Diceros bicornis minor: one gene and its partner. The protein of the gene in region 1 purifies or fractionates together with the protein of each later gene. This does not show direct contact. Links are inferred from orthologs where the notes say so. Each region holds a gene or a part of one and is shown in the gene's direction. Other genes may lie near its edges.

The links.
Region 2: the proteins of OBSL1 (region 1) and CAMKK2 purify together in Homo sapiens (affinity purification with mass spectrometry; 4 studies listed by BioGRID and IntAct, with this or other methods). This does not show direct contact. The link is inferred for Diceros bicornis minor from reciprocal best matches to the Homo sapiens genes OBSL1 and CAMKK2.

The regions. Positions count from the first base shown.
Region 1 is NC_080776.1:9,821,617-9,837,680, reverse strand, and holds the start of OBSL1 (obscurin-like protein 1), read left to right. Parts: upstream 1-8,429; 5' UTR 8,430-8,720; coding exon 8,721-9,732; intron 9,733-11,487; coding exon 11,488-11,757; intron 11,758-11,841; coding exon 11,842-12,093; intron 12,094-12,242; coding exon 12,243-12,545; intron 12,546-12,698; coding exon 12,699-12,995; intron 12,996-14,122; coding exon 14,123-14,395; intron 14,396-15,550; coding exon 15,551-15,823; intron 15,824-16,064. Other genes in the region: INHA (inhibin alpha chain), read right to left, coding at 4,747-5,579, 7,354-7,624. UniProt on the Homo sapiens protein: Core component of the 3M complex, a complex required to regulate microtubule dynamics and genome integrity. It is unclear how the 3M complex regulates microtubules, it could act by controlling the level of a microtubule stabilizer.
Region 2 is NC_080774.1:8,550,424-8,566,096, forward strand, and holds the start of CAMKK2 (calcium/calmodulin-dependent protein kinase kinase 2), read left to right. Parts: upstream 1-6,783; 5' UTR 6,784-7,780; coding exon 7,781-7,926; intron 7,927-8,452; coding exon 8,453-8,619; intron 8,620-15,673. UniProt on the Homo sapiens protein: Calcium/calmodulin-dependent protein kinase belonging to a proposed calcium-triggered signaling cascade involved in a number of cellular processes. Isoform 1, isoform 2 and isoform 3 phosphorylate CAMK1 and CAMK4. Isoform 3 phosphorylates CAMK1D.

The DNA.
Region 1 (16,064 bases):
GGATAATAAATAATAGTCAGTCTCAGTTCAAAAAGACACCCAGAGGGGCCGGCCCCGTGGCTTAGCGGTTAAGTGCGCGCGCTCCGCTACTGGCGGCCTGGGTTCAGATCCTGGGCGCGCACAGACGCACCGCTTCTCCGGCCGTGCTGAGGCCGCGTCCCACATACAGCAACTAGAAGGATGTGCAACTATGACATACAACTATCTACTGGGGCTTTGGGGGAAAAAAAGGAGGAGGATTGGCAATAGATGTTAGCTCAGAGGCGGTCTTCCTCAGCAAAAAGAGGAGGATTAGCATGGATGTTAGCTCAGGGCTGATCTTCCTCACAAAAAAAAAAAAAAAAAAGACAGCCAGGGATAAATTACATTTTCACTGGAGCAAAGTCATCGTCCTAAGGAAATAATTTATTGAAAGAAATGAACATTTTAGGGGCCAGCCCGGTGACATAGTGGTTAAGTTCGTGCGCTCTGCTTTGGCAGCCCAGGGTTCATGAGTTTGGACCCCAGGGCACGGGCCTACATGACACTCGTCTAAGCCACGGTGTGGCGGCGTCCCACATACAAAATAGAGGAAGATTGGCACAGGTATTAGCTCAGGGACAGTCTTCCTCACCAAAAAAAAAAAAAAAAAAAGATAGTGAGAGAGGAAAATAAAGTCAAAGACAGCTCTTAGAACATAAAAGAATTGCATCACAATGCATCAGGCAGGATACCATTTCTGGGGGAGAAAAGATGATTTCTACAAGAAATATGTACGTGTGTGAACTCAAAGAAATATGTCTGGTGGGATACTTACCTCTGTGTAGGGACTAGAATTGGGAGAAATGACCAAGGGGAACCTCAGCATTATTTTTAATATTTGAATCTTTACTGTGGGCACGTCAATCTCTGTGTTATTTATGAAATAAAAAACAAGTAACGTTTTTTTGAAAATCCACGTTAAAAAACAAAGTGCCCAGGAGGCAATGAGAAGAGAGTGGCTAGCTCTGCCAGCTGGGAGTCAGGGGAAGCCACACAAGAGATGACATCAAAACTGGATCTGCACCCACGCATTGGCTGAGGAAAGAAGGAAGACTGATGACATGGCAGCTTGAGGATAAAATGATGTACTTGAGGAACAACCAGAGATTGTATCAACGGAGTTTGGGAGCTCGTGGTTTGGTGGAGAGAGGAAGGCAGCAACGGGTATGAGATCAGGCTGCAAGGATGGGCTTAGGGTCAATTGTAAAGGGCTAGTCTACCACACAACACAGGTGGAACTTTGTGTAGTCAACTTTTTAAGCCACCTAAGGGACATGATCACAAAAGAAGTCTCCTTTGGCAGCCAGGCTAACCTGGACTGGAGAGGTAGGGAGTGACTGACTGCTAGAGAGCCGTTGAGGAGGCTGCTGCATTGCGCAATCAAGAATTGCCTCTGGGGCCAGCCTGGCGGCGTAATGGTTAAGTTCACATGTTCTGCTTCCTTGGCCCGGGGTTCACAGGTTCAGATCCTGGGCGCGGATCTCTCACTGCTCATCAAGCCATGGTGAGGCGGCGTCCCACATACAGCAACTAGAAGGATGTACAACTATGACAGACAACTATCTACTGGGGCTTTGGGGAGAAAAAAGGAGGAAGATTGGCAACAGATGTTAGCTCAGGGCCAATCTTCCCCAGAAAAATAAAAAAAAAAAAAAAAAAAAAAAGAATTGCCCCTAAGTGACAAAATGGTGTCTACGTAGGGAGAGAGAAAGGGCTTGATTTGAGAGATCATTAGGAGGAGGAACCCACAGTACTTGCCACACAGCATCTACCCCACCTTTTTGTGATAACTGTACCCTACTTTGGGGATACACCTGTCTTCACCTTTAGCCCTTGTGCTTAGGCTCTGGGCTCTGGGGGTAAGACACGTGATCTAAGTCATTAACTCATTCTGTTCCCTCAGCCACCTTTCCTGGAGGAGTACATGACCCCAATCAGGGCAATCAGGCCACCAAGACCCAGTCTGGGACTTCTGTAAGCAAACGCCCTCCTGCTAGACCATGTGGTGTGATGATGGGAGCCTGGAGCTGCCCAGGTCACCATGGACTTGGGATGGAGTCGACCGAGGGGAAGCAGAGCCTGTAGCTGGATCCTGAGACAACTTTTGAGCTCAGAATCAAGCCATACCTTAGCCAGCTGTGACCGTGGACTTGTCATGAGCCAGTGATTATTTTATTTTATATTATTTCTTTTATTTGGTTTAAGTCAGTTTGAGTTGTGTTTTCTGTTCAAACTGACTCTGAATTAAGAGTATTCAGTGTCCCTAATGATTAGCACTGGGAATGGGGAGCACCTCTGAAGTCTCTTGGCATGCTCTTAGTCTCATGGCAAAGAGTGAGGACAAAAAGATGTCCTTACTACTGTCAGCCCCTCTTAGGGAGCGGTGGACGTATCTTCCTGATTTGCTAAGTTAGCAGAATCTAAGGCCCAGAGCCCTGGAAGGGTTGGCCCAGACCAGTGTGACTCCCAGACTTGAGATGTCACAGATTTCAGCAGCAAAATTACAAAGAAAAATCTTAGGGACCAAATTAGAATTTCCAAGTTTTAATTTTGTTAAGTAAAAACTTAAAAACAAAATAAATAAACCACCACCTTCTACTATCACCATAATATCATAAAAGAAATACTACTTTCACATACACACACACACAGAAAGGATAACCTTAGAATAGAGGACAGTCCTTTAAAATAAATACTTTTGGCTTCATGAAAGACACTACCTTATATTCACTTTTCTCACTCCATCTCAGATGTGTAAAAACTTTTTACTAGCAGCACCAATCTGCTACCTGGCCTAGTGGAGAACACTGTGCCCCTCAGTAGAGTGTCCCCAGCCCTCAGATCTCATCCATAGCCCTGGGACAGGGAAAGTCTGGACAACACAGGGTCCTAGGCAGCCCCAGCAGGAAGAAGGAGGATCCTGAGTTTAATAGGAGGATTGAAAATCCCAGGGAAAGATTTGGCTCAGGGTAGGAGGATCTGGCAAGGGAAGCCAGACAGGGAGAGAGTGGCGCTCAGACAGGCTTGAGGAAGATCTATTCCCACCACTAGCCCAGCCCAGCCAGCCCTCCCACAAGTCCACCACGTGAGTAGGGCCCCCAGGAGCCCTGAGCACACACTGGTTGCAATGCCGGGTATAGATGAAGGTGCTGGGAGAGACTCAGGATTAGGAATAGGCAGGTTCCCACCTCCCAGCAGTGGCAGCCTCCTCGGGGGTTCAGTGTCAACAGAGACTGAGGCTGGCGCAGGAGCGTGGACGTGGGCTGCTCTGGCGGGTTCTTGTGCTGCAAGGAACAGAAGCTCATTCAGTTCGTCTCAAGTAGGGGGAATGTGTTAGCCTCACGGTGACAGGATGGGATTCTCTCCCCCACACCCCCTTCCCGGGGCAGGCGCTTACCTGCCCGCCGCATGGAACTGGACTTTGACAAATCACTCTGTTAGCATAAGTACACACTGTGGTTGTACAGTCAATATCAGACAGAGCTCTCGAGTTTCAGTCTGAGGGACCTGAACATCCCCAACCCTCCCCCTCCACACACACACACATCTCCCTTAAAGGGAAACTGGATGGAACCAACTGGCAGAGAGCCAGGATCCTGGGGCAGGCGGGTGGATAGTGAGACAGAGGGGAGGATGAGGAGGGCGGAATAAGCAGAGAGGAAGGCTGGGGAAGTGGGGTTCCCGACCTCCAGTCAAGGTGGGCAGAATGGACTAGTATGAGACCAATGGGAAAAAGACCCTTTGCATGCTGCTCCGGACTCTCTGTGTGTACACAAAGTGTGTACACAAATTCACACAAGAGCACACGTTTGTCCAGCAGTAGGTTCTGCCTTTCCATGCTTCCAACATCAAGGACTGAGTTAAGAGGCTACAGAAAGATACACAGTGTGCATCAAAGGAGCCAAAGATTTCAAGAACCCAAATCCCAGTACAGCCAGGCCTCGCAGAGGCTACAGCAAGACCCAGTGATAGGTTCAAAGGAGTCCAGGACCCTGGCAAATTGAAACCCTCAGGTCTTCATTCTTCCACCTCTCTGCCTGGTCAACCTTCGGATGCTGCCAACTCATACATCTCTCCCTTACTTCCCACCCAAGTTCCTGAGAAACCCAAGATCTGACCAGCTCTGAACATGTGTCTCAGTGGGGCCCCAAGCCATGGTCTCTGGCCAGTCTACGAATCACCTGACCTTGAGCTAGTGTCCATCAGCTAGGGCAGAGAATGGCAGGGGAGGGGCTATGGCCACCGTGGATGCAGGCACTGAGAGCAGTCGTTGCCTTTAGGTGTGGCAGGGCAGGCCACCCAACTGACATGTCAGGTCCGGCTTGCAGGAGGGCCAGTTCTGTCTCCAGTGTGGCTGTCAAGAGCCTGGAGCACCTCTGTGTCATCCCCAAGCCTTGTGGCTTCCCACCAGATGCATATCCAATCCCAGCTCTTGAACCTCAGATCTCCAAGGTCAGGTGAGGCTGAGTGACCTGAGATCCCACAATCCCATGCTCCCGGGGTCCAGACCTGGCCCCCGCCATATCAGAGAAGCCTGAGAATTCACGCCAAGTCATATGCACTACGCTGTTTATTGTCACATGTTACCCATGGGACAGCGGTGGGACGGGGGAGGAGCCTTCAGGCAGAGAAGTGGGAGGAAGGGGGAAGTAGAAACCATCAATCTCCCGAACTCTGCCCTTCCTCCCAGCTGATGGTGGGGGCTTGGCCCCCCGCAGAACTCTCTTAGATGCAAGCACAGTGTTGTGTGAGAAGGTTGGGCACCATCTCGTACTTGAAGGAGTAACCTCCATCCGAGGTGGTGCGGACACGTAGGGGTCTCATGGTCCCCGGAAGAGAGGCACAGCAGGCCTGGGCCCCTGGCACCAAAGAAAGGGGCTGGACAGGGGTGGGGGAAACCCCAGGGACCGGCAGGGGCAGGTCTGGTGGGGCAGGCAGCCCGCAGCCACCGTGACAATAGTGGAAGATGAAACTGGGAGGGTGCACGATCCACCGGTCCCAGCCCAGTTCCTGGAAGGAGATGTTGAGAGCCGCTCGGTGGCAGTTGGCGTGGGCAGCCGGTTCCTCTGGAGGCCTCTGGAGCAGGCGCAGCGCGGCGGGAGACCACGGCCAGGGCAGTGGAGGAGTCGAGCGCCGGGCTCTCTCCCCTCCACTGGGCGGCCTGGCCCGTGTGTGGGCCACCAGGAAGGGTGTGGCCTCAGGCCGGGCTGAGCAGGAACAGAGAGGACAACGCAGCAGCAGCACCAGGACAGGGCGGGTCAGCAGAGGAAGGGCCGAGGCGGCCAGGTGCAGCACAGCCCAGCGAGGGGGTGCCTGGCCCAGTGACATGGGCACAGCCATGGGACTCCCGGATGACAGTGCCAGCAGGCCTAGCAGGGGCCCAGAGCTATTAGAGGCTGCTGTGCCCTGCCTGTCCAGTCCGGTGTGGAACCACAGCTGGGCCGAAGTCACCTGGCGGCTGCGTGTGTGCTGGGACGGCCGGAACACATACGTGAAGAGGCCCTCTTCAGCCTCCTGGGCCCACTCACCAGCAGCTGGCATATCCTCACATCTGGCACCTACAGGAGACAGAGGGAAGGGAGAGGGCAGGCCTGACTGGCAGACTGGGGAGCCTTCCTCCTCGACAGAAGGGATGTGGCTGCCGTTCATGAGCCTGCCAACCACTCCATTGAGTGCTCTGCCAACTTGGGGCCTCCCTCCAGTCTTGGGAGAACTGACAGAGGCTCCCCATTTATTATCTCATCATTAAAGGACTTAAAAAATACAAGATGTTGCCAACTTCTCTCTGAAGTGGTTTTACCAATTAATATTCCCATCAGCCGTGTGTCAGAGGCCCTGCCGCTCTCTACCTTCACCAACACTTGGAATTGTTCGTTAGACTTAAATTTTTCTTCATCTGGTAGTGTGAAATGGTACCTTGAAGGGTCTGTACACAGGCATTTGTTGTGTTACTCTTTATATCTTTTTACATGTTAGAAATAGTGCCTGATAGGGGCCGGCCTGGTGGTGCAGCGGTTAAGTGCGTGTGCTCTGCTTCAGCGGCCCAGGGTTCACAGGTTCGGATCCCAGTCGCGCACCAATGCCCCGCTTGTCAAGCCATGCTGTGGCGGCGTCCCATATAAAGCAGAGGAAGATGGGCATGGATGTTAGCCCAGGGCCAATCTTCCTCAGCAAAAAGAGGAGGATTGGCATGGATGTTAGCTCAGGGCTAGTCTTCCTCACCAAAATAAAAAAAAAATAGTGCATGATAAATTCTTTAAAATAATTCCACTTTTAATGGATGGCAACTAGGATTTTGGTGGTGAACACAATGTAGTCTAAACAGAAATTGAAATATAATGATGCACACCTGAAATTTATATAATGTTATAACCCAATGTTACTGCAATAAAAAATTTAATTAGAAAAAATAATAATTCCACTTTAAAAAGACAGGTTAACACCAAAAAGAAGAAAGAGGAGAAGAGAGACTATAGCTCAGGATAGAGGGCAGCACGTTCTAAGAAAGTGCAGCTGGCATCCTGACCCTGATGGGTACATGGACCACAGTGAACCATCATGGATCAGCACCAATAGGACTGGCGGTTAGAGCTATAGTGTTACCTGGATTATCTTTATCTATTATAAACCTCACAACAACCGATCCATTTTGCAGATATGGAAACTGAGGGTTAGAAAGGTGAGTGACATTTAACTTAAGCGGCCAGGCTGGGACTCTGCCTGATCCCAAAGCCACACTTTGACTGACTGTGCTGCACGGGGAGTGATGAGCAGGGAGGCAGCCGGTCCTCTCTAAGGGAAAGGTGGGACAGATTACAAGAAAGTAGATCCAGAGGAGGGCTTTATTGGTTCGGTCCATGGAACATGGGGACACACACAGGGAGATGAGAAGGGAATTCAAGAGAAGATGGACCGGTTTCCCAGAAAAGTTTCCCAACTGCTCTTTCTCCTACATCTCTGATATCTCTCAAGTCTCAGCTACTTGGGGCTAAAGGAACAAGGTTTGGAGCAGGGAGCAGAGGCAGAGAAAGAAGGGAAGGTGGCAAGAGGGGGCTCATGCCCAGATATCTCCGTCTCTAGGGACTTTTGGTCTCCCAGACGAATATCTCCCAATGCCTCCTATGTGCCATGCACTCTAGATACACCATCTCACTTAATCCTGAGAGGTAGGCATTATTGCCCATGTTACAGATGAAGACACAGAGGGTCAGGGAGGTTTAGTAACTGGCCCATTGTTGCAAAGCCAGTTGAGTGAGACCACCCTGGCTTCCAAGCCCACACTGAACCATGCTGCTTCTCAAAGTCGCCCTCCAAGATCCCCGCCCTCGTTACCTGAAGCTGGGAAAAGGATGGCCTGGGATACATCCTCCTCCTCGGGCTCAGAGGCCCTCCGCACGGAGCCTCCCAAGGCATGTCTTCGGGGCAAACGCCTGACTCCAGGATCCCCACCTTCCCCGATCACTGCCGGGGGCCCCAAGGCGTCCAGGAACAGGGCCCTCACCTTGGCCAGGACAATTTCCCGGTCCAGCTGTGACCCCTGGCAGCCATGCCCAGCCTGTGGAACCAGGAGCAAGAGGAACAGCAGTGGCGGCTGGGACACCATCGCTCACCTGGGCCTGCCAACAGTGACCCCACTCCCTGCCCTGCGCCCCTTCAGTCAGGGTCTGCCCAGGGCCTCCCCACTCCCCATCCCACCACCCGCCCTCTTCTACCCTTCTCCCTGGGTCTTCCCCAGCCCTTCCCACACCCTGCAGTCCGAGTTGCCCCTGCCCGTGGCATTGAGACCTCCTATCTCTGACGCAGATGTCTGTGGCCCTGAGCCTTATCTCCCACTCCCGCCAGGAATGTGGGGGAGGGGGCTGGTGAGGGTTTTCACCCCAAGTGACCTGACCCACACAGACAAGCCTTCCCCCTACACACACTCACTCCACACACACACACACACACACACACACTGCCAGTCACATCGGAGCACCCAGCACAGAGGTGACATCAGGTGTGACAGGAGCCTGGCAGCTGGGGTCTGTCAGCTCCTAAGAGGGTTATTTGTCGGGAAGACAGAATGTGCCAGCCCCTCAGACCTTCTGGGGCCCCTTTCACCCAAGCAGCTGCTGGACCAGTCCTGGGGGAAGGGCTGAGGCTGGGGCTAGAACTGGGGCTAGGGCGGGGGGCAGGTGGTCCCGCCTGCTCTATACTTAGCCTGGAGGAGCCAGCCCGGGCTCTTGTCCTCCAGCTGTGTCATCAGAGAATATTTTTGGGATTGGCAGCTGCAGGCGACTCTGCCACTCAGGCCCAAGCCTGGCGGGCGGCTGGGGACCTGGCGGCTGGAGGGGGGAAGGAGGAGGGGAAAGAGGCCCAGGCTGGGGGAGGGGGCTGGGAAGGGAGGCTCTCGGGAGCAGGAAGCCAGGCCGCGGGCAGGGGAGGCTGCGGGGCCCCTCGCCGTAAAGGCAAACAGGAAGGACTGCCCCCTGAGCTGCGCGCTCCGGGCCCGGGATCGCCGCCGCCGCAGAGCTGCAGCTCCGGGCCCAGGGTAAGGAGGCGAGCCGGGAGCGGGCGGCCCCGGGAGAGCTCGGCGGCTCCCCGCGCCCCGTCCCCAGATCCGCCCCGCCTCCCGGGCTCCCGCCGCCGCTCCGGGCCTCCGCGCGCCCGCAGGCCGCCCGCGCTGCCCCCGCGCCGCGGGGCCGTCTGCGGCCGGCGCGATGAAGGCGGGCTCGGGGGATCAGGGGAGCCCCCCGTGCTTCCTGCGCTTCCCGCGGCCCGTGCGGGTGGTAAGTGGCGCCGAGGCCGAGCTCAAGTGCGTGGTGCTGGGGGAGCCGCCGCCCACCGTCGTGTGGGAGAAGGGCGGGCAGCCGCTGGTGGCCTCGGAGCGCCTGAGCTTCCCGGCGGATGGCGCCGAGCACGGCCTGCTGCTGAGCGGCGCGCGGCCCACCGATGGGGGGGTCTACGTGTGCCGCGCCCGCAACGCGGCCGGGGAGGCCTACGCGGCGGCCGCCGTCACCGTGCTGGAGCCGCCGGCCCCCGAGCCCGAGCCCCAGCCCGCCGAGCGCCCGCTGCCGCCGCCCGGGGCTGGAGAGGGCGCCCCGGTGTTCCTGACCGGGCCCCGGTCCCAGTGGGTGCTGCGGGGGGCGGAGGTGGTGCTGACGTGCCAGGTGGGGGGCCTCCCCGCGCCCACGCTGTACTGGGAGAAGGACGGGATGGCCCTGGACGAAGTGTGGGACAGCGGCCACTTCGCGCTCGAGCCGCGCCGCGCCGAGGGTGGCCCGGGCGCGAGCCTGGCGCTTCGCATCCTGGCGGCGCGGCTGCCCGACTCGGGCGTGTACGTGTGCCACGCCCGCAACGCGCACGGCCATGCGCAGGCCGGCGCGCTGCTCCAGGTGCACCAGCCCCCCGAGAGCCCCCCCGAGGACCCCGACGAGGCGCCCCCGCCGGTGGTGGAGCCGCTCAAGTGTGCGCCCAAGACCTTCTGGGTGAACGAGGGCAAGCACGCCAAGTTCCGCTGCTACGTGATGGGCAAGCCCGAGCCCGAGATCGAATGGCACTGGGAGGGCCGCCCGCTGCTCCCCGATCGCCGCCGCCTCATGTACCGCGACCGCGACGGCGGCTTCGTGCTCAAGGTGCTCTACTGCCAGGCCAAGGACCGCGGGCTCTACGTGTGCGCCGCGCGCAACTCGGCAGGGCAGACGCTCAGTGCCGTGCAGCTGCACGTCAAAGGTACTGCGGCGCCCCCAGCAGCCCGGGCCTGGAGAGCCCTCCAGCGCCCTCCGGGGTCCTCCTTACTCCATCGCCTCTCAGTGCCCAGCGCCGCCCAAAAGACGGTGGGGGAGGGGAGACGGGCTATTAAAATACAATTTCCAGCCCTCCTCCCACCCCCCAGGGATTCAGATTTAGCAGGTCTCCAGCGTACCCAGGAACTTCTTAGCAAACCTCCCCAAGTGATTCTGAGGCAAGTGGTGGAAAACTACCCTTGATAAGCGGCTTTAAGGAGTGATTGATGTACAAACCCAGAGGGGCCTAGATCTCTTCTACTCCAGTGGTTTTCAACCTCTTTATTAATTCACTCCTTCTTCCCCAATGGAAACCCCATCTGGGGCCCCGATATATAAAACAGATAAAAGGAACATTTTATCCGTGTAAATTTCTAAATCCAAATGTATAACACATACCTCTAAAGCCAACCAGTGAGAACAAGGGGGCTATTTTATTGATTACACTCATTTTAAGTGGAGGCTGTGTTCATAACCGGCTCTCCTCTGTGAGCCTGGGGAGAAACACCTGCCTGCAGGCCTCACATTGAGAAACTCCTGATTCACCCCAAAGGTAAGCTTGAGGGAGGAAAAATACTCTGGCATTTTTGACTATTCTTTCACTAAACTGCTGTTCAGGTTTGAAAGAAGAGGAAAAGAAAGGAGAGGAAATTTATGTTTCAAAGCTGAGTCACCAGCAATATCTAATAAATGCTTACGTTGCTGGTAAACAGAAAATTCAGGGGTAAAAAAGAACACCCCAAACTCACACCGGAAGTTAAAGCTCTCCATGATAGGACTTCATCACAAGTCGAGGGATTGTACATTTTCTAGTTATTGCCTAGCTTTTTCCCTCAGAGGAGAAAAAGTTGGCAAATCTCCTGAGCTCTGCCTGGCACGCCGTCAAGCACGAGGCACCTGTGGTGCCGTGGTGGCCTCGCTGGTACAGTTTGATGTGCACAAACTGGCCGGGCCGCGTTGAACCCTGACTCCATTGGGAGAGAAGCCCAGCAGGAGGGCAGAGCTGCAGGATGAACATGCTTCTCCAGCAGCCCAAGTGAACCCACTGGTCATTTCTGTCATTATGCTTTCTTTTTATAAGATGCAATTTTGAAAATGGTTAAAGTTGTTAAAAATGAAATTCCACTCAGACCCTTGCAGAATTTGTGAGGTGCCTCTGGCAGAGCATGCCAAACTTAACCACTGATTTTCACAGTGTGAAAATCACTAATGTGGGGCCGGCCCCGTGGCCTAGTGGTTAAGTTTGGCGTGCTCCACTTTGGCAGCCTGGGTTCAGTTCCCGGGTACAGACCCACACCACTCGTCGGTGGCCATGCTGTGGCAGTGACCCACATACAAAATAGAGGAAGATTGGCACAGATGTTAGCTCAGGGCCAATCTTCCTCAGCAAAAGTAAAGAAAGAAAAAGAAAATCACTAATGTGGTGCATCTCTTTCCCCCACTTTACAAGTAAGGAAACGGAGGCCCAGGATCATTAAAATGGCCTTGCTCGGGTGATGTGGCTAGTGAGTGTCAGGGTCAGATAAGAATTTAGGCCATCTTCTCTTCTGGTGATTTTTCTGTGATTCCACAGTGCCTGCCAGCTCTGGGAGAGAAGCAAACGGCATGAGCTAATGTGGGTTTAGGCAGCTCAGGATGCCAGGAGGAGTCCTTCGGGTCTGGCCCTCTCCAGAGCCTTCTCTGGTCTTGCCCCTCTCCACAGAGCCCCGCCTCCGGTTCTCGAGGCCCCTGCAGGACGTGGAGGGCCGGGAGCACGGGATTGCCGTGCTGGAGTGTAAAGTCCCCAACTCCCGCATTCCCACCGCCTGGTTCCGCGAGGACCAGCGGCTGCTGCCCTGCCGCAAGTACGAGCAGATCGAGGAGGGCACCGTCCGGCGCCTCATCATCCACAGGCTGAAGGCAGATGACGACGGCGTCTACCTGTGCGAGATGCGGGGCCGCGTGCGCACCGTGGCCAACGTGACCGTCAAAGGTCGGCTGGCCAGTGGGAGGAGGCCAAGGCTGAGGCAGGCAGGTGCCCAGATCCCAGGCTGATGGATTCCCGTCCGCGTCTCAGGGCCCATCCTGAAGCGGCTGCCGCGGAAGCTGGACGTCCTGGAGGGAGAGAACGCAGTGCTGCTGGTGGAGACACGGGAGGCTGGAGTCGAGGGGCGTTGGAGCCGAGATGGGGAGGACCTGCCGACCACCTGCCAGAGCAGCTCTGGCCACATGCATGCCCTGGTCCTTCCGGGGGTGACCCGAGAAGATGCTGGCGAGGTCACCTTTAGCCTGGGCAACTCCCGGACCACCACTCTGCTCAGAGTCAAATGTGAGGGCATGAAAGCCTCCGGGGAAGACTCCTCAAGGCTGCACAGGAGGGCCAGGGCAGGGGGTGACCAGAGGCTGGGTTAGCAAGGGGGACTAAGGTGGGAGGGCCGTGGGAGCGGGGCTGGAATGCAAACCCTGCCTTTGTCTCAGGCGTGAAGCACAACCCCCCAGGACCCCCCGTGCTGGCAGAGATGTTCAAGGGCCACAAGAACACGGTCCTGCTGACCTGGAAGCCTCCCGAGCCAGCTCCCGAGACCCCCTTCATCTACCGGCTGGAGCGGCAGGAGGTGGGCTCGGAAGACTGGATCCAATGCTTCAGCATCGAGAAAGCCGGCGCCGTGGAGGTGCCGGGCGACTGCGTGCCCTCCGAGGGCGACTACCGCTTCCGCGTCTGCACGGTCAGCGAGCACGGCCGCAGTCCCCACGTGGTGTTCCACGGGTCTGCTCACCTCGGTGAGTTGGTCCTGCCAGACCCGGCCCGGTGGCAGCCGTGCCCCAAATCACGCCCTCCCCATCACCCCTCCTCCCTTCTCCAGCCCTCGCTCCCTGTTCTCTATGTTCCTCCAACCTCTGCCGTCTGATGGCTGCACTCTGTCCCCGTCGCAGTGCCCACAGCTCGCCTGGTGGCAGGTCTGGAGGATGTGCAGGTATATGATGGGGAAGATGCCGTCTTCTCCCTGGATCTCTCTACCATCATCCAGGGGATCTGGTTCCTTAACGGGGAGGAGCTCAAGAGCAGTGAGCCGGAGGGCCAGGTGGAGCCTGGGGCCCTGCGGTACCGTGTGGAGCACAAGGGCCTGCAGCACAGGCTCATCCTGCAAGCCGTCAGGCACCAGGACAGCGGGGCCCTGGTCGGCTTCAGCTGCCCAGGCGTGCAGGACTCTGCCGCCCTCACCATCCAAGGTTGGTGCTGGTGGGGACCAGGGTGGGCAGATAGGGTCAAGACACAGAAGTCCTGTTGGCAAAATGAGGCAGATGCTGTTCCCTTTTCTCACGTCTGGGCCGGGAGAGTAAGGAGCACCTGTAGTGGGCTCAGAGAGAGGGCTCCGTGGTCCGGAAGGCCGATTTCAACCCATGTGCAATGTACAGGGGACCTCTTGTTATCTTCATCGGCATCGTATCCAAATTCTCTGGAGCACTTTGTGGTTTATAGAATTCTATCACGTTTATCATCTCAGAGACATGGGTCCTGGCCCCTAGTTCCTGACTGCTTCTTGCCCTGTTGTGTAATTGCTGACATATCAGAGCAGCTTCCCATGTGCCAGGCACAGTCTGATCATTTCCATATAGTAATTATCACAATCCTCTCAACAGCCCTATAAGTTAGGTTCTTTTGTCATCCCATTTTACAAATGGAGAAACTGAATCACAGAGAGGTTAAGTGACGTGCCCAAAGCCACAGAGCTAAGGAGTGGTGGTGCTAGATTATGAACCCAGGCAGTCTGGCTCCAGGATCACCCTCTGCCACCTGTGGAAACAGGGAAGGAGAGGGAAGGAGGCATCCCTGAGGAGGACGGTTCTAGGTGGATGTCTCAAAGTTCAGGGTGCACGCTGGCATTTGCCAGCTCACCATTGCTGGGGTTTGTAGGGCCAATCAAGGAATTCCTCAGCTCCCAAGAATAGCACCTGGGGCAGTTAGCTGCCACCATCCCATGAAGAGGGCAAAGTGAGAAATAACCAGCAACCAGAGCAGCGTTTCCAAAATGAGGCCTGGGGTCAGCGACATGAGAATCCCCGAGAGGGCTGACTAATGCAGACTCCTGGCCCTTGCACGCTTGGGAAAGGGCTGTTGTCTAGGAATGTGCATTTTTAGCAGGCTCCCTAAGAATTCTTAGGCACCCTAAAACCACTGCTCCCAAGAGTTGGTGGGGAGGCCTGAAACTGTTTTTCAAAAGTCCAACAAATGCGTGGACGGCGGTTGTCTGGCCTGACGGCCCATGCCCTGCACCAAGCCCGCGCACCGGAGGGGGTGCGTATCCCAGGCGCAGCACAACGAGGCACCGCATGTGACTGCACTTCTCCCCACTCAGAGAGCCCGGTGCACATCCTGAGCCCCCAGGACAAGGTGTCCTTGACGTTCACGACCTCGGAGCGGGTGGTGCTGACCTGTGAGCTCTCCCGGCTGGACTTCCCAGCCAGCTGGTACAAGGACGGGCAGAAGGTGGAGGAGAGCGAGGCGCTGGTGGTGAAGGCAGACGGGCGCAAACACCGCCTGATCCTGCCCGCGGCCCAAGTCCAGGACAGTGGCGAATTCGAGTGCAGAACGGAGGGGGTCTCAGCCTTCTTCAGCGTCACCGTCCGAGGTCAGAACCGTGGCGGCCGGGGCTCCTCTGGCTGAGGCCGACTCTGGGGGCCGTGCAGGCCCTGCCCCCTGGTCTGCCTGCTTGGGGGTCCCTTCTGGGGAGAACCTCGTGGGCTGGGAACATGTTTTCAGATCACTCTGCACTTGCTTCTTAATTCTCCCGTGCACCAACACCCTCCAGCACACTTGCCCCCACATCCCCTCTGCTGGGGGTGGGGGGAGAACTAAAATCAATTAAGGGAAGGAAGGGAGGAACTCACATTTTTGGGGCCTCTCCTGTGAGCTAACTACTATGTGATACTTCAGATATACACTATTTCCTTTAATCTTCACAGATGAAGAAACTGAGGCTGAGAAAGGTTATGTGACTTCAGTATTATACAGCAAGCACACACCCTAGCTGGGTTCACACCCAGGACCGTGCTTATCCTACTGCCCCAGGTGGTCAGGGTCAAAGGGAAGCTTTAAGTGCAGTGGTCCAGTGGTTCTCAGAGGCCAGTCTGTGGTCTGGCTGCCTCAGAACCACTCTGGAAGCTTGTTATAAATGCATATGCCCAGGCCCCCCCAGACTGCCAGAGCCAGAATATCCGGCAGAGCCTGGCGGTCTCCTCTGGGAAGGCAGCTTGGGAACCATGGATCCAGCTCATCTCGCTGAGTGGAAATCCTGTTTCAACCCCATTGCCAGGAGGTTCTCTAGCCCCTGCCTGAATGCACCCAGTGATGGAGAACTCACTACCTGTAGGGAGCAGCTGAACCGCTGTGGCTCCGCTAGTCATTCCCAGTTCTTACTCATCCTCGGGCTAGCATGGCAGGGGCTTCCTGGTGAAAGCAGCAGCCAGCGTGGCCCTGACGTGGCCTGTGATAGTGACCACCTCTCAGCCTAGACGAGGGCTCTCTGCCTCCCTCCCTCTGTGTCCGCACCCAGCCACCTCTGACCCTCTGGGGACCCACGGAGCATTAAGGGTCCACATGATCTGCCATGCCTCACCCTCCATGCCCTCAGTGTCCCCTGTCATTGCCCCAGAGCCCCCTGCACAGCATGGCCTTAACCCTCCCAGTGTCCTCCGCGGAAGAGACTGTCCCGGCCAAGCGGCCGGTGTGGACTCATGTCTCCTGTGTGTGGGGTGTCTGTGTGACCCCTGCTCTGCTCTCCCAGACCCCCCGGTGCACATCCTGGACCCCCGGGAGCACGTATTCGTGCACGCCATCACCTCCGAGTGCGTCATGCTGACCTGCGAGGTGGACCGGGAGGACGCCCCCGTGCACTGGTACAAGGATGGCCAGGAGGTGGAGGAGAGCGACTTCGTGGTGCTGGAGAACGAAGGGCCCCATCACCGCCTGGTGCTGCCCGCCGCCCAGCCCCCGGACGGCGGCGAGTTTCAGTGTGTCGCCGGAGACGAGCGTGCCTACTTCACCGTCACCATCACAGGTGGGGGTCCAGGCAGGCCCAAGGGACAGGGGAAACTGGCGGCCCCCCAGGCAACTGTCACATTCTCACCCCCGGGCCACAGTTCCCAGCCCCTACTCCCCTCCCCCAGGCTGGTCAGATGCCCCACCTTCTCCCTGACTCATGGTCTGCACCCTGAGGTTCAGTCACCCCAGAAAAGGCACTGTCATAAACACACTGGTCACGGCTGCACGGGGCACAGGGAGGCCCTGCCTTCTCCATT
Region 2 (15,673 bases), on another chromosome or scaffold:
TGGGTGGTTTAATTTAGGGGTGTAAGAACTGATGAATGGTTAAATGGGGAAAAGGTTTGGTGAGGAGGGCATTGAAGCTAAACAGCCAATGGGCATCAGGTCTATACCAGAGACCTTAGGATCCATCCTCAAAGGGGAAGAGAAAAACAGTGTAGTGACCTGAGCCAGTGGCTTGGCATGATGGGAACTCGTTACCTAGCACATTTGGTGCCGAGTGTTTCCAGCTGTGAGACAGATGGAAGCAAATAGCTAACACTTACACAGTGCCCTGGGGTGAGTGATTTATGTATATTAACACATTTAATCTTCATAACAATCCTAAGAGGTAGGCAATAGCATTAATCCCATTTAACAGATGTAGAAACTGAGGCATAAGGAGGTTAAGTCACTCACCCAAGATCACACAGCTTGTACACCTGAAATTTATACAATGCTATAAACCAATGTTACTGCAATAAACAAACAAAAAAAAAGATCACACAGCTAGTAGGTTGCAGAGCTGGGAATCCAACCTAGTTGGTGCATTATCCTAAAGCTGCCTGTTCTCAGTTTTGAAAAAGTACTGTTTTTGTGAATACTCTTTTTCAGTTTGTTGAATGCATAATTGATAATATTGGTTGTCGTTTACCTAGTGCCCCAAATAGGCCAGACACTGTGCTAGATCCTTTCACACATACCGTCTCTAATGCTTGTAAGCCAAATACTATTTTATAGGTGAGGAAACTGAGCCCTGGAGATCCAGCCTGACGCAGCCCCCTCACTAGTAAGGACCAAAGTCAGGATTCAGTTCTGGGTGTGACAGGCTCCTCAACCTACACGCTATCCCATCACCAGACTGCCTTTGTGTTCAGCTATGTACCTTGAATATTTCTGCTGGTTCAGAGTGTTTAAAATTTTGTCTTGACGTTTTTGGGTGGTTACACTGACTTTTTTCTTTCTCGTAGTACATCTAAGACAAATAAGAACTTCATCTATGCCCCAGCCGACTTCTTTTATGTGGTTATTTATTTTGGGGACTAACAAACATAATCTCACTGCTGGTTGAAGGGAAACCTCTCGGTTTTTTTTTTTTGGCCAGCGTTTTTCTACTGTTTTGTTGAATGGGAAAGAATTCAACAAATAAAGTACGTTGGTGTGATTAATCCTGCTGTCTCTATTTGGATGTTCAAGGTTTGGGAAGCGGAACATTCCAGTGAACATGAGTAGACACAGAACAGTTCAGAAAGGAAAGACAGTGTTGGCAGGAGCTTGTGATGCCATCCTAGTGGGCGGGATAATTTTCAAGTCTTACTTTTCAGCCCCTCCCTTGTACTGTTCAAGTTTTCTTTAAAAATAAGATTCAGATGCTTTGTTTACTTATTTTCTTGGCAATCTGTGTTGTCAAGACAACAAGATCTGTTTGCCTAGAATAGGTTTTTCTGGTGTTCTTGGAGGAGAAAACTCAAAAAACAAAAGCCAATTCTTATTTTCATATCTCTAAGAAGAAACTGGTTTCCTTAAGTGGGATAATTTCTATCATAAGAGGGCCTGAACGTCAATGAGAGACAATTGTGATGTTCTCTGCTTTGTTCTAATTCACTTTAATAGGCAAGGCACATAACTGATGGTGTTTTTAGCTCTGTGTTAAGTATATTCATAGTTAGCTCCATTGAGCACTTATGTACCAGGCACCGAGCTGTTATCGTGGCACACATTATTGTATTTAAACCCCAAGCTGAGCCTGTGAGCTCGGTGCTGTGATGGGCAACATTTGACAGCTGATGAAACCAAACCAGGAGAGATCAAGTGCAAGGCCACAGAGCTGGTACCTAGCAAAGCTAGGATTTGAACTAGGTTTCTCTGGCTCCAAAGTTTTTCAGCCACAATGCTGAGAGCATACAAATGTTTCAGATATGGTACCTGCCTATACTCCAGGAATTTATAGCTCTATTGGCAAGTCAAAGCATATGAGTGAAAAGGTAAAGAATAAAGAAGATAATTGGCTGAGCATCAAGTAAGCTACAGTCTTTGCTATAGGAGATCAGAGAGGAGAGACGTCAAGGAGGGCCTGGGCCACAGCATTCCAGGAAGTTCTTCCAGAAAGAAGTGAATCTTGGGCTAGGGTTTCGATGGGCTCTTCCTAACCTTTCTTACATAACTGGTTTCTAACTTTACATAGCTGTATGTATATCTAAGTTTCTGCCTGTGTTAGCTACAGCATTCTAATAAAACATAGGCAAATTAAGTAACATGATATAAACACAGAATTGTATGTTTTAACAAGTAACAGGAAAAGACATCAACCAATATCTATTTTGGTTTCCTTAGTAAAGCAGGGGTTGCCAAACAATTGTCCATGGGCTGAATCTGGCATGCTACCTGTTTTTATATGGCCTGCCAGCTATGAATGATTTATGTATTTTTAAATAGTTGAAGAAAAATCAAAACTCATATTTTGTGGCACATGAAAATTATATGAAATTCAGCTTTCAGTGTCTGTAAATAAAGTTTTATCGGAACACAGCTATCCCCATTTATTTACTTTGTCTATGGCTGCTAGAATGGCAGAGTTCAGTGGTTGCAACACTGTATGGCCTGCAAAACCTAAAATATTTACTATCTGGTCCTTTACAAAAAACATTTGCTGACCCCTAACATAGAGTCAGAAATGTCCAAAATGCTCCCCATCAGCCCTGATACATATTTTGGGGGAGAAAATAGAAAAATACAGAGCTATGCCTCCACCATTCAGAATTGACTGTTAACATTTTGCCATTTGCTTCAAATCCATTTATAAAAAAAGGCATAAAATGGACAACATTGCTTATGTTCTTCCTCTCTATTCTCTGTCCCTACTTCCTCCTTTGGGACAGACTCATGAATTTAATTTGCACTCATCCCCTCTGACTTTTAAAGCACTTGTATATAAGCTCGCGGCCATGAACAATATAGACTGTGTGGGGTTTAAAAATAGTACACACAAATTGTGCATCATATTTGTGTGTATCGTATTCTGCAACTTACTCTTTGTTTTTGGGATCTCCTCATGTCTGTACAAATAGACCTAATGCATTCCTTTGAACTATTGCGTGGTATTCCATCAAATGACTATAACACATTTCATTTATCCATTCATCTGATGAACATTTAGGACGATTGTTCCCAAGTTCTTACTGTTACCAACGAACGAGTGCGTGTTGGATAACATCAGAAGGGGTGACGAAACCTGTCAACCTTTAATTCGGCCCTTGACTCTCCCCTCAACTCTTGATTCCCTTCCGGCCGCTTGGCAGGGTCAGCGAGACATCCCCTGGGTAACTTTCGGTTCAGGTCTGGGTTTCGAAACACCGAAGGCCCCCGTCTGGCAGCCCTTGAGCTCTTCTCCCCCGCCCCCCTCCCTCGCAATGCTATTGCCCAGCTGGGAGACTAAACACACACTTAAGGCTCCAGCAAAGTAGGGCGCCAAAAGTAGAATGTTCGAGAAGAATATGATGTATTTCACAAAAAGCATCTAAGTAGTCTTGGGGAAAAGCCAGAACTTCATTGGGATTCGTGTAGTTTGGTATATCCTGGCGGAGTCGGGGTGGAAGAGGAACACCGTCCCCCAGCCTAATTTAGGGCGAGCCCTGAGCAGTGGTCAGTGAGGAAGCGTGTTCGGAAGGGGTTTCTCCAAATGGATGGTGACCCGAAATCCAGGCCACATCCACCGGGGTCGCCTGGGGCAGGGGTAGCAGCCCCGGGGCGGGAGCCGGGGAGCGGGGCGGGCCCCCGGGTGTCCCGCAGGCTTGGGGAACTTTCCGCGACTCAGCCGCCGCCCTGCAGTCCCCGCCTGTGGCTAAAACAAAGCGAGCGCTGCCGGCGCGTCCGGCCTGCCGGAGGGTGCCGCGGCCGCCGCGGGGAGAACCGGGGCAGGTGCGCGCCGCGGGCGGGGGCCAAGCCGCCGCGCAGCCTCCGGGGCTCGTGCGCCCGGCAGGTCTCCCCGTGTCCGCAGCTCCGCCGCCTCCTCCGACCCCTCCCGCCGGGCCGCACTTCCCCTCCCCTGCGCCTCCTCCCCTGTCTCCGCCTCCGCCTCCGCCCCGCCGCTGCTTTCCTCTCCGCGAGCTCCCGCCCCCTCCCTCCCGGCGCGGGGCCGAGCCGGCGGGGGCGCGCCCGGGTTTCCAGCGGCCGCGGCCAATCCCCGCGCAGCCCGCGGCGGCGTCGCGCCGCAGCCGGGACCGGGCGGCTCCTCCCGCCCCCGCCCCCCGCGCGCCCGCCGGGGCCGCGGAGAGGAGCGCGCCGCGCCGAGCCGAGCGCAGCCGAGCCGGGGGCGCCGAGCGCGGAGCCCAGGTGAGCGGGCGGGAGCTGGGAGCCGGGCGGCGGGCGGCGGGCGAGGGACGCAGCTCCCGGCGGCCTCGCGCTCTCGGGGCGGGGGACCACTGCCGGGACTGCAGACAAAGCCCCGAGGCCGGCTCCGGGCTCCCCCACCGAGGGGACCCCACGTGCGCCGCCCCACGCCCCGCCACGTGGGGGACGCGGCTCCTGGCGCCCCTTCCCCCGCGTCCTCGGAGCGCCCGGGGTTTGGGGGTGGCCTCCTTGGCTGGGCCGCGCCCGGCCCGGGTGGCAGGGGCGGTCGCGGAGTTTGGAACCGCTGTCTCCGCGGGCGGGGGCAGTCAAGGATGCTGGAGGCGGCCTAGGCCCACCCCCGACGTTTGACAGGTGGGGAAACTAGAGCGCGCAGGGGACAAGGCCACCGGACTTGGAGCATATCACCCCCGCACCGCGCGTGTCTTGGGGGCAAACCCAGGCCCTGGGGGCTTGGACATCAGGCGGCAGGACCCCAGAGCAGCACTTGCGGGGCCCTTTGCCCCCGCCCCCCTTCTCGCAGCCGGAACCTCACAGCCTTGGTCCTTTTGACCTAAATTCACCTCGGGGACGCAGCTCCGCTGTGAACGCAGAGAGGTGCCTTCACTGGCACCCTCCGCCTGCCTCCCGGGGACGCGGGGTGCTGGGCCCAACCCCGCTCTGCATGCCTGGGGTGCCACTCGCTCCAGCCTCGAGCTTTTCCTGGCTTCCCCCACCCCCTGCACTGCCCAGTTTGGGAAGCCGGGTGTTTTCACAGCTCTGCCAGCTGCCCTGCTGCTCTCACTTGGCGCTGAAGAGCTTGCACCTCTGCCCCATATCCCGCAGAAGGTTGGGGCAGACGGCATCTCAGTGGCAGTCAGCAAGAGAGGGGCGCGTTGGCCTCGGGATGGGACATGCAGGGTCCTTTTCCTTAGAGGCAACTTTTACCTTCCTCGGTCTGGAAGTCTCCACAATCCTAGAGATAGAAACTTCTTGTGCCCTAGAGCTGTGCTGTCATTCACCACTCCCCCGCCCCTGCCCCTGCCCCCAGGGGAGAAAAGAGGATAGACTTAGGTCCCCATAGGCTGCCTTGTTGCTAGGGGAGGCAGGGGCAGCAACAAGGGGAGGGCTTTGGGGGAGTTAGACTGCTTCTCCCAAACCACCCCACAAAAACATGCAGCTTAAGAATAAACAGTGTGCATGCTATGCAAGTGCAGCTTCCTAGTGAGTCTCGATCCTCCTTCCAGATGGCTGCTCATAAACTCTTCCTGTGTAGAAAGCAGCCATTCGCAGTGAGAGCACACAACATATTTTTGTAATAAGAAGTAATAGCGGTCATTTGATGAGCCCGTAACTTGGATAATAATATTAATGATGTGAATAACTCATATTTGTTGAGTTCTTGCTGGGTGCCAGATACTGTGTGATGTGTTGCATGCATTATCTCATTTAATGCCTGCCAACATCCTACAAGGCAAATTTTTATCCCTATTGTAGATATAAGGAGACTGAGGCTGGAAACAGTCCTGCAGTGTTGCTAGGAGTTAGTCCCATTTTATAAAAGGGCTCAGAGAGGTTAAGTAACTTGCCCAGGGTCACACAGCAACCCAGGCATGTCAGGCCTTAGAGCCTTTGCACTTTACCACCTGTTCTAGACCCGGGGCCCTTGCAGGCTGCCCTCAGCTTCTTGAGGAGCCCAGAGTTGTTTACCAAACTAGCCTGTGAGAACACATCTAAGCAGGCATGGTGGTGATGCTGATTGGCTTGGGCTTGTCTTTGCTCCCAGGTTGTTAGGGGGCTGGTGGCCAAATGTATTCACTAATAACTATGCGGTGGCCCTCAGCCAGGGCAGTCTCACCTTCCTGGCGAGCACTTGGAAAAGTGTGGAGGTGACTTTTGGTTGTCAAAATGATGCTGAGCACTCCTGGCTTTTGGTGGGCAGGAGCCGAGATGCCAAATATCCTGCAAGCGGGCCAGATCCTCAGCAGACATCCACAGCAGGCATGAAGAATTGCCCTGCCCTAAATGCCAGGAGTGCCTCTGTTGTGAATCCAGGAGGCTCCCTGAAGGAGGTGTTGTTTGTGCTGAGCCTGGAAGGATGGGCTAAGAAGTGGAGATTGGATGGGAGTAGGAGGAAGGGAGATAGGACGGGATGACCTGGCAGAGGGAACTTTCTGTAGGAACCCAGAGTTCCCTCCTTGAGGACCTCAGTCTGGACCCAAGACAGGCCAGTGGCTGTGGAGGCACCTTTCTCAGGAGGAAGGGGTGGGCTGGGTGGGGCAGGCCAAGCCTGTTTTCAGGGCACTTTGGCTCAGATTTTAACATGGGGCACAGCATCGCCTGTACCCCTCCATGAACCGATTTTGTGGAAGGGCTCAGAGAGGCTGAGTCACTTGTTCAGGGCCACCTGTGACCTTCTTCTCCCCAACATGCCTGCTTCTGGTGGCTGTGGGAAGCATATGGTTCCCATTTCCTGGAGATTTGGGGCAAATGCTATTTCAGATTTTCCTTCGGGTCAGAGGGCCTTCACTGCTATTTTTGCCAGATATTTTGCTTTTGCAATAGCTCCTCCCCTTTGGACTGGGTTAGAGAACCCGGATGTGGGGTGCAGGGCGGCCTGGCTCTGTGGTGCTGCAGTGGCCTTCACCCCAGCTTCTGTGCCTTCTTTCCTGGAAGTTGAGGAGATTGCATTGCCTTTTGGAATGGACTTTTCTTCTTTGAGGCTGTGCTTGTTACCTTACTGACCTGCTAATAATATGTGACCTTTTGTGTCTGGCTTCTTTCATTGAGCATAATATGTTCAGGGTTCATCCAACTTGTAGAATATATCAGCGCTTCCTTCCTATGGCCGAATAATATTCCCCTGTATGGATACAGCACATTTTGTTTATCTGTTCATCCATTGATGGACATTTGGGTTCTTAATGTCCATCCTCTTCAGGCGACTGTATCCATTCCTCTGCCTCGGCAGCCCCCAATTAATAAACCTCTGGGCATAAGACATTATCTTCTCACTCCATTTGCAGAGAGAGGGCGATGCAAGGATGGGTCTCTGAAATCAGTTGGGGACCAGCTTCCTGGAGGAAGGTTTTCAGGACTCCCTTAATTTCACTGCCACCCGCTCCTCCGCAGGACTCCTAGCTCCCTTCTAAGCCCATTGCCTCCCCGGTCAAGTCACAGGTGTTAGAAGTGTGATTGTCAGGGAGAGTCTGGATTTCATTCAGCTCCATTCTTTTCAGTGATGACAATTCGTTAAATGTAGGTCCCCGTGTGATTTTCTTGGTATATATTTTGTGAAACTTCTGCCGGGTAAGTAAATCCACAAAGTAGAGAAAGCCTCACCAGACAAATCGAGCCGTAACTCGGTGGCCGGGCCTGGAGTCGGCTCAGTCTCTCCTGATAGCTTTGCCAGGAATGCCCACCACGGACCGACCGGAAATGGAGCAGCGTGAAAACAGAGCTGGGAGGGAGCCCAGAAAAGATGGGGCATCAGCCCCTCTCAGTTGACCTGGGGAAGGTGGAGCGCAGAGAGGAAGGGAAATCACGATCTTTTCATTTGTTGACTAGGAGCCGAGCTGTGGGCTGGGCACTTTCATATAGAGGATGGATGCTACAGCTGCCTGCTAGGTAAGCCAGGGTGGCTCCATTTTATAGAAGAGAAAATCAACCCTCAGGTCCCGTAGGATCCTGACACACCCTCTAATCCCGTGCTCTTGTGTCTCCCTCGCTCTCCTTATGCTGGCAAAGGATGCCCATTTTCTCATGGAGTAGAATCCACCCTCTCCAGGCGGTTATGGTGCAGAAATAATTTCTGAATGGTTTTGCTCTCTGAAAAATAGGATTTTGAATGATTATTTGTTCTTTCTTCCCTGATTGCATCGCTGCCTCAACAAAACCAAAAAAAATAGCATATTTAAAAGGAGGTGAGTGCTCTTCGACTTCCTAGGGAAGACCTCTGGCTCTGGCATTCCCTGCTGGGGGATGGTAGTGACCAAAATGGGGAAGGAGTTATTTTAGCCACCAGTGTTCTCAGTTTCTGTCCTGTTTGTAGTGTTGCCACTGAATTTTTTTTCTTCAATTATGAAACATTTTAAGCGTAGAGAAAAGCCAGAGTTTTGTTTTGTTTTGTTTGACTGGCTGGTTTTTTTGGAAGGCTGGAAGGAGGCCCAGGAGGTGATGGAAACAGGGCAGAGCAGGGCGCTGCGCTGTACTTAGCAATGGCTCTGGAACCTTCATGGTCTTTCATGGAACCCACACTTTTTGGGGGGGCTGGTGACAAGGAACGCTGGAACTTGGTCCCTGTCCCCAAGAAGCTCCCAGGTAAGTGGTCTGTGAACTATTGGGGAGTGCTTTGGAAAAGATAAACAGTTCTAGCATTTTTCCCTTTTGAAAAGGAGAGAAAGAAAATAGGAAGATTCTGTGTTGTGCCCCCACCCCCATCCCATCCTGAAAGCTGCTAAGTAACTATTTTTATGTTGTCTCTTTTTATCCTCTTGGCTTCTGTAAATAGTTGAGAGATGGCAGTTGCAGAGATAAAAATGCTAATTCTAACCTGGAGAGGAGAGAGGATGGTTCCCCAAGAAAATGCGCCCCTCCCCAGGCCAAAGTCTTGCCCCTCTGCCCGCTTGGCTTGGGCATGAGATAGGAAGTGAGTAGATGGGGAAGGGGCATTGTGGGTGGTGCCTGAGATAACCTTCTGCTGGAGGAGTTTAAATGGGGAACTAGTGGTTGGGGCAGGGGGCAGGGTGTGGAGGAAGGGACACTTCCCTTATGGGTTTTAAAGGTTTTTATTGGGATTTTGCCTTCAGGGCCTCTGGTGGAAAGAGATTTTATTTAGATTCATTTCAGACGATGCTCCCACGCTCTGGGTCCAGGTGTTGGGACAGGGTTGGACCCCCAGAGCCGTGCCTGCGCTGGCTGGGGTTCCTTTGTGCTGGAGGCTGGGGAGGGAGAGAGCTCGAGTTAGCATTACCTCCAAATGGCAGGGAAGAGGGAGGGAGGAGGGCCGTGGGTGGCCAAGGCACGGATGCTGTGGATGCCGAGCCGGCCCCCTCTATCTCTGATGTGCCAAGCTGCAGAATGTTGAAGTCGAAGTCTTTCTTTTCATTACAAATTGAAATTTCAGTTGTTTCCCTGTGTCTTCCTTTGGTTCAGTGAAAGCCTGGGAGGAATTCAGTGGGAGAAGAGGAAGGAAGTGAGGTGGTTCCTACCTCCCTTGTCTAGATACCCGGCCCCCACTTGCCCACACCTTCACACTTTCTCACTCTTCAAGGCAGGGCCACCAGCCCATACCTGGCTTTCGATACCTGGATGTGTGATTGGGGCCGCTCTCTCCGTGATCCTTTGTCATTGACAGAACAATAGCTCCTCAGAGCTCTTAAAACGTTGAGCTTCTTGCTCTGTAAGTGTCCTGGGCCGCAGGGGACACCTGGTTCTCACCCCAGCCTGGCCTCAAACCAGGTCCTCTCACCTCCCTGGGTCTCCGGAACTCCATCTGCAGCCCCAGTGCGTTGACTGTGAAAGCCGTGTGAGAGCATGCGCAGGTTCTTACGACACAAGTAAGCAAGCGTGCGAAAGTGTAGGCACCCTCTGTTTTTAATTTTGTACCAAGTGTTGCATGTGGACGGAAGTTAAAGAGGAACATGAAGCGTTAAGTTAACATGGTAGGATTAGAGATTAAAAAATTTTGTTTTCATGTAGATTAAAGCCAGTTGAGGGGCTTGAACTTGATAGCCGCTGAGGGGCTTGAACTTGATAGCTGCTGAAGTGCTTTCTTGGCAACAGCTTCCATTTAGGGAGCATTTACTGTGTGCGGGGGCTCGTGTGGTTGGTGAGGTGGTGTTGTTATCCCCAAGGTCGCACAGCTGAGGAGAAGGGATGTGCCCCTGATCATGGAGTTCCTCCACTTTGGAGCCTGTGATTTCACACTTGTGCCCTCCCAAAGCACCGTGCGATTGCCCGCAAGTCCCTCGGACTCCCTGTGCCTCAGTTTCCTCATCAGTGAAATAAGCATGATAACGGTACCTAACGTATAAGGTTATCGGGACGATTAAATGAGATGATACATACAAAGTGCCTGGCATTTGGCAAGCACTGAACAAGGCTAGCCGTCACCATTACCCCGTCTGTGGCTACTGTGGTTGCTGCTACAATGATGTGATTCTTGTGTCGAAAGTGCTAGTCAGTTTCTTCCCTTTACTCTGTCCTGTTCCTTAGCCCTTCTATTCCTTGACTTTTTTTTAGATTTTTATTTATTTATTTTCCCCCCCCAAAGCCCCAGTAGATAGTTGTATGTCATAGTTGCACATCGTTCTAGTTGCTGTATGTGGGATGCGGCCTCAGCATGGCCGGAGAAGCGGTGTGTTGGTGCGTACCCGGGATCCGAACCCAGGCCGCCAGCAGCGGAGTGCGCGCACTTAACCGCTGAGCCATGGGGCCGGCCCCCTTGATTTTTTTCTTTAAGAAAAAAAGAGATTTTGGAAGTTCTGGTTTCCTCCTGACTGTCAAGGTGAAGGCTGTGCAGCTTACTGGGGCACTTGCAGCTGCCTGGCAAGTTTGCCTGGTTGGGAGCCTTAAGGTATAGAGAACTGATCATCTGGCAGGGAGCTTAGGGGAGAAGTTTCTCTGTCAGTCAGCTCTGTGTCATCTGTCAGTCAGGACCCTTGGTTGTAAGTGACAGAAAACTAATTGCAAACTAAGTTAAGCAAAAATGGGAATTTATTGGCTCATGTAGTTAAAAACTCCTGGGGTACGTGGGCTTCAGGCATCGTTGTGCCCAATGTCTCCTGTTTCACAGAAAGAGACATTTTTTCTTCTCAATGCTTCCACAAAATCCTAGAATAAGACTCGGTAGACTGACTTGGGTCACACATCTACTCTAGAATCAATCACTTGACCAGAGCAGTTGATGCCTGGTTGACCAGGCTTGAGTCACATGGAACCCCTGAATCTGGTGGTGTGGACATCTCTGTGGGGTCACTTTTTGCATGGAAGGTTGTGTTCCCAGACATAAATCAGGCTGCTGTTATCAAACTGAAGGAAAATAGATTCTAGGCAAGCTAAAGAAAGCATCTGACCTTCTGAACGGCCTTGGGATAAGTGAAATAAACAGTGACCTCTAGCCAGTATTTATTGAGTGCCAGCAGTGTTCTAGAAAGTTCTAGGTCCTGGAGTTCAGCAGTAGACAAGAAAGGCAAAGCCATGGCTCTCACAAGTTAAGTCAAATCCATATCTCTGTGCCCAAATCCTATGCATTTCATTTCTGAGCACCATAAGACACTGTGCCTTCACACACTCTCCTCTCACACAGGTGGAGATCTCAGGAAGGCAGAGGGATGGACTGTATGCTCCCCTTTATTGGAGATTTTGGCCCATCATGGACTTTATTCAGGACACAATATGTGGACATTGCAAGGCCGTACCTGTAATTTTTAGCCCCTTCCTGAAAAACTCAGACCAATTTTAGTTCTGCCTGGAACCACCGTGTAACTTTGGGAAAATCAGTAAATCTTTCTGAGCCTTCGTTTTCTCATTGCTGAAATAAAATGGTTGGGCAGGTGACCACTGATGTGTGCCCTTTTTAGCACTAACATTTGATGCATCTCAAAGCAGGGCCTGCAGGGGTGAAATAGGTCATGGGAAAGAGGAGGGCATTCAATGCGGCTCTCAGCCTGTCCTCGGCATTGGGGAGGCAGTGGGGAGTGGTGAGGACAGTGGCATGCTGGCGAGTGTATCTCCTATTCAGAGCTGCCCACGTTGTTGCCAGGAAAGAGTATAGACCCAGTGCTATCAGGGCATCCAGTTCTTCAGGAGACTCTGGAAATTTTTATTTTTATCTGAAATCTCCTGGCTCTGAAATGTTGGTATCTCATTCAGATAGTTTTAAACACAGTGTAGGCCAAGCAGGATACATCAGTGGCCAGATGTCACACAAGAGTCACCATTTGCCACCTTTTTGCTCCAGGGCCTATGATGGGGATGGGGTCTCTGCCCTCTGAAGCCAGTACCATCCCTCCTGCCGTCTGCCAAGGGAGGGCTTTTCTCTTTGGGGAGACAGTTGGTCTCAGTGACTCCAAACTAGAGAGTGTTCAAGGAGAGACAGTTGTAAGAGTTGATGTCACTGAATCTGATAAGACTGCTTGGCTGGGCCGGGGACCCCGATCTGGAATATTCCATCTGGCCTCAAACCTCAGCACTGTGTCGGCTGGTATGGCCGAGCCTCCCAGGTCTCCCCCTCGGGCATTGGAGACACCTCTGAATCTGTGGCCTCTGAGGCAGCAGCTTCTCTGGTTGGGTGGGAGCTGTGTTAAGTTTGCTAGGACAGCTATGACAAAGTACCACAAACCGGGCGGCTTACACAACGGAAATGTATGATCTCACAGTTCTGGAGGTCAGAAGTCCCAGATGGAGGGTTGGTTCCTCTTGAGGGCCATGAGGGAGAATCTGTTCCCTGTCTCTCTCCCAGCTTCTGGTGGCTTGCTGGCGATCTTTGGCATTCCTAGACTTGTAGGCGCAGTACCTGGGTCTCTGCCTTCATGTTCTCTTGGTGTTCTCCCTGTGTGCGCGTCGGTCTCCGTGTCCAAATTTCCCACTCTTTATAAGGACACCAGTCATGTTGGGTTAGGGCCCATCATAGTGACCTCATTGTGCTTATAGTGACTTGTGTGCCTTCTTTTAAGAAATCACGTCTGTTTTGTTTATCTGGCACATAGTAGGTCCTCACTGATTACTTGATGAAAGAACAAAGGGATGAGTGAATTTCCTTTAGGACCTCCCTGGACCTCAGTTTCCCCACGTGAGGAGGTAGCTGCCCAAGCCTGTTATCCCAGGAAATGACATTGACCCTCACCTCGGCAGGGTCCTCACAGCTATTTTGGGCCCCTTTTGTTGTCCCATGGTGCCCGGGCCCTCATGGGACCCCGTTCAGGGGGTGTCTCGGGTTGGGGCACGTCCCTGGCGCTTGCTGGCTACTTGCCGCGCTGCGGCTCCCGTGTGGCTCTGCATTTGGTGAGCAGGCGCCGGCTGGAACTGCCCCCAGGAAATGGGAATGCGTTTCCTCGAGGCCTGTGCCATTTGGCTTCCTGGCAGAGGAAGGAGCTCTTCCCTTCATCCTGGCCCTGAGCCGATCCATCTGCTCCAGGAAGGGTCTGGTCGGTCAGCTGAGCCGCCCTGTGAGAGGGGAGGGCAGGGGAGCTGGGGCTGCCAGCCAGGGCGTGGGGGAGGCCTGGGGGCCAGGGGAAGGACCCAAGGTTGGGGCAGGAGGCTCAGAGGAGAGGGCTCTTGGCACTTTGTCAAACCCGGGCAGCTCTGCGGAAAGGTCGTCTTGCTCTGGGGCCCCCTGAAATCAAATGCTTAGCTGTCCCTCCCTCTCAGAGGGCCTGTGAGGATTGAATGACCAGCGCAGAGCAGTTAGCCATGCTTGGTGCCTTGTAAGTGCTTGGTTGGATGTTAGCTATTGCTGTTATTATGCAAACCATTGTCTTTTTTTATGATTTTTTTCTCCTAGGAAGTGTATTGGTAGCTTTCATCAGGTCCTTAAAGGGCCTGTGACCTCATAGAGTCTGTGACTCCAAAACAGTTCCGAACGCTGGCTGAGACTCCACTCCGAGGTGGTCAGTGGCGAAAGATCTTCCATCAGGCTGAATGGCTGAGACCTTGCCTGCCAGGCCTTGCTGCAGACCAGTGGCCTCCAGGTGGCCTTGAGGCTCTGAGGTCGGTGTCCCCTGGGATTCTCTTTCTTGAGACCTGGACACACCTGCCCCTCCAGCACAGAGGTCCCCACCTGCCCCTCCAGCACAGAGGGCCCTACCTTCATCCCAGCCAGCGGATTTCTCCTCTCCCCTCCTCCAGACGTCAAGGGCCAAGGCCTGGGCCAGACGCCAGCTTGTCAAGGAGACTGATTAAAAGCAGCTTTGCTGGGGGTGGATGGCTTGATGTCCTTGGCCTGGAGTGGAGATTGATAAGCAATTGTTTTTCTGTTGGCAAGAAAAAAAATTCTCCATTAACTTTCTCGGGTGCTGCCAGACTAGTTTTCTTTTCAGGAACTCTGTAGCCTTGTCAGAACATCCTCCCTCCCTCTGTGGCTCTGGGAGGGAGGATGGGCCACTGGAGCAGCTCCCCTGCCCTTGGGGAGGCAGGAGGAAGAAAGAACATTCTGGAACACAGCCCAGCAGGTAGTCCACATTCAGTAGGTATTTGTTGAAAGAGTAGCTTTTTTAGCACTTAATCATGCACCGGGCATGATATTGAGTGCTTAGCTCATTTAATCCTCATGACTACCTGGTGAGCGCCCATTTTATAGATGAGAAAACTGAGGCTGAGAAAGGCTAAGTCACTTGTTCACTGAGGGCCCAAGCGCTCATACTTCAGGGGCCTGGCTTTTCCCCTCCTAGGGGGTAGGATCATAAAAAGGTTATATAAAGTCACAGCAGCGGGGCCACAGAGAACATTGAACTTGGCTTGTATTCTTTCACTGATAGTGAAGCCAAGACAGGAACACAGTCATGGATTTCTTTCTCAGACACGGTAAGGTGGGATAGAGGATTAGGAGATGGGACCCACTCTCTAATGGTTACAGTTATTTTCTTTCTTTTAAAAGTTCCTTTCTGAATAGTTACTATTTGCACATGGTACAAAAGTACAAGGAGGGGCCAACCCGGTGGCCGACCCAGTTAAGGGCACACGCTCCGCTTTGGTGGCCCAGGGTTGGAGGGTTCAGATGCCGGGCGTGCACCAACTCACTGCTTGTCACGCCCTGCTGTGGCGGCGTCCCATATAAAGTAGAGGAAGATGGGCACGGATGTTAGCTCAGGGCCAATCTTCCTTGGGAAAAAAAAAAAAACCGGGGGGAGGATCAGCATCGGATGTTAGCTCAGGGCTGCTCTCCCTCACAAAAAAAAAATACAAGTAAATACAGTGAAAGTAAGTTCCTCCCACCCTGTCTTCCCACTTGCAGTTATTTTCTCTTGAGGCGGCTGTTACCATTTTCTTGTGTACCTTTCAGAGAAATATGGTATGCATATGCAACTGTGTACACATGTATGGTTTTCCCCGCCCATGTTGACAGCAGCATACTAATACTTAATTATTTTCCATGTAACAATGTGTCTTGGAGCTAATTCACGTTAGGATAGAGTCACCTCTTTTCAAATAAATGCATGGTTTTCTCCAGGGATCCATGTACCTCATTTTATTTACTCAGTCCCCTGTGGATGGTCATTTCAAACCACACTACCAAAATAATCTCGTGCATACATCATTTTTTTTTTTTAATAATTTTATTTATTTTTTCCCCCAAAGCCCCAGTAGATAGTTGTATGTCATAGCTGCACATCCTTCTAGTTGCTGTATGTGGGACGCGGCCTCAGCATGGCTG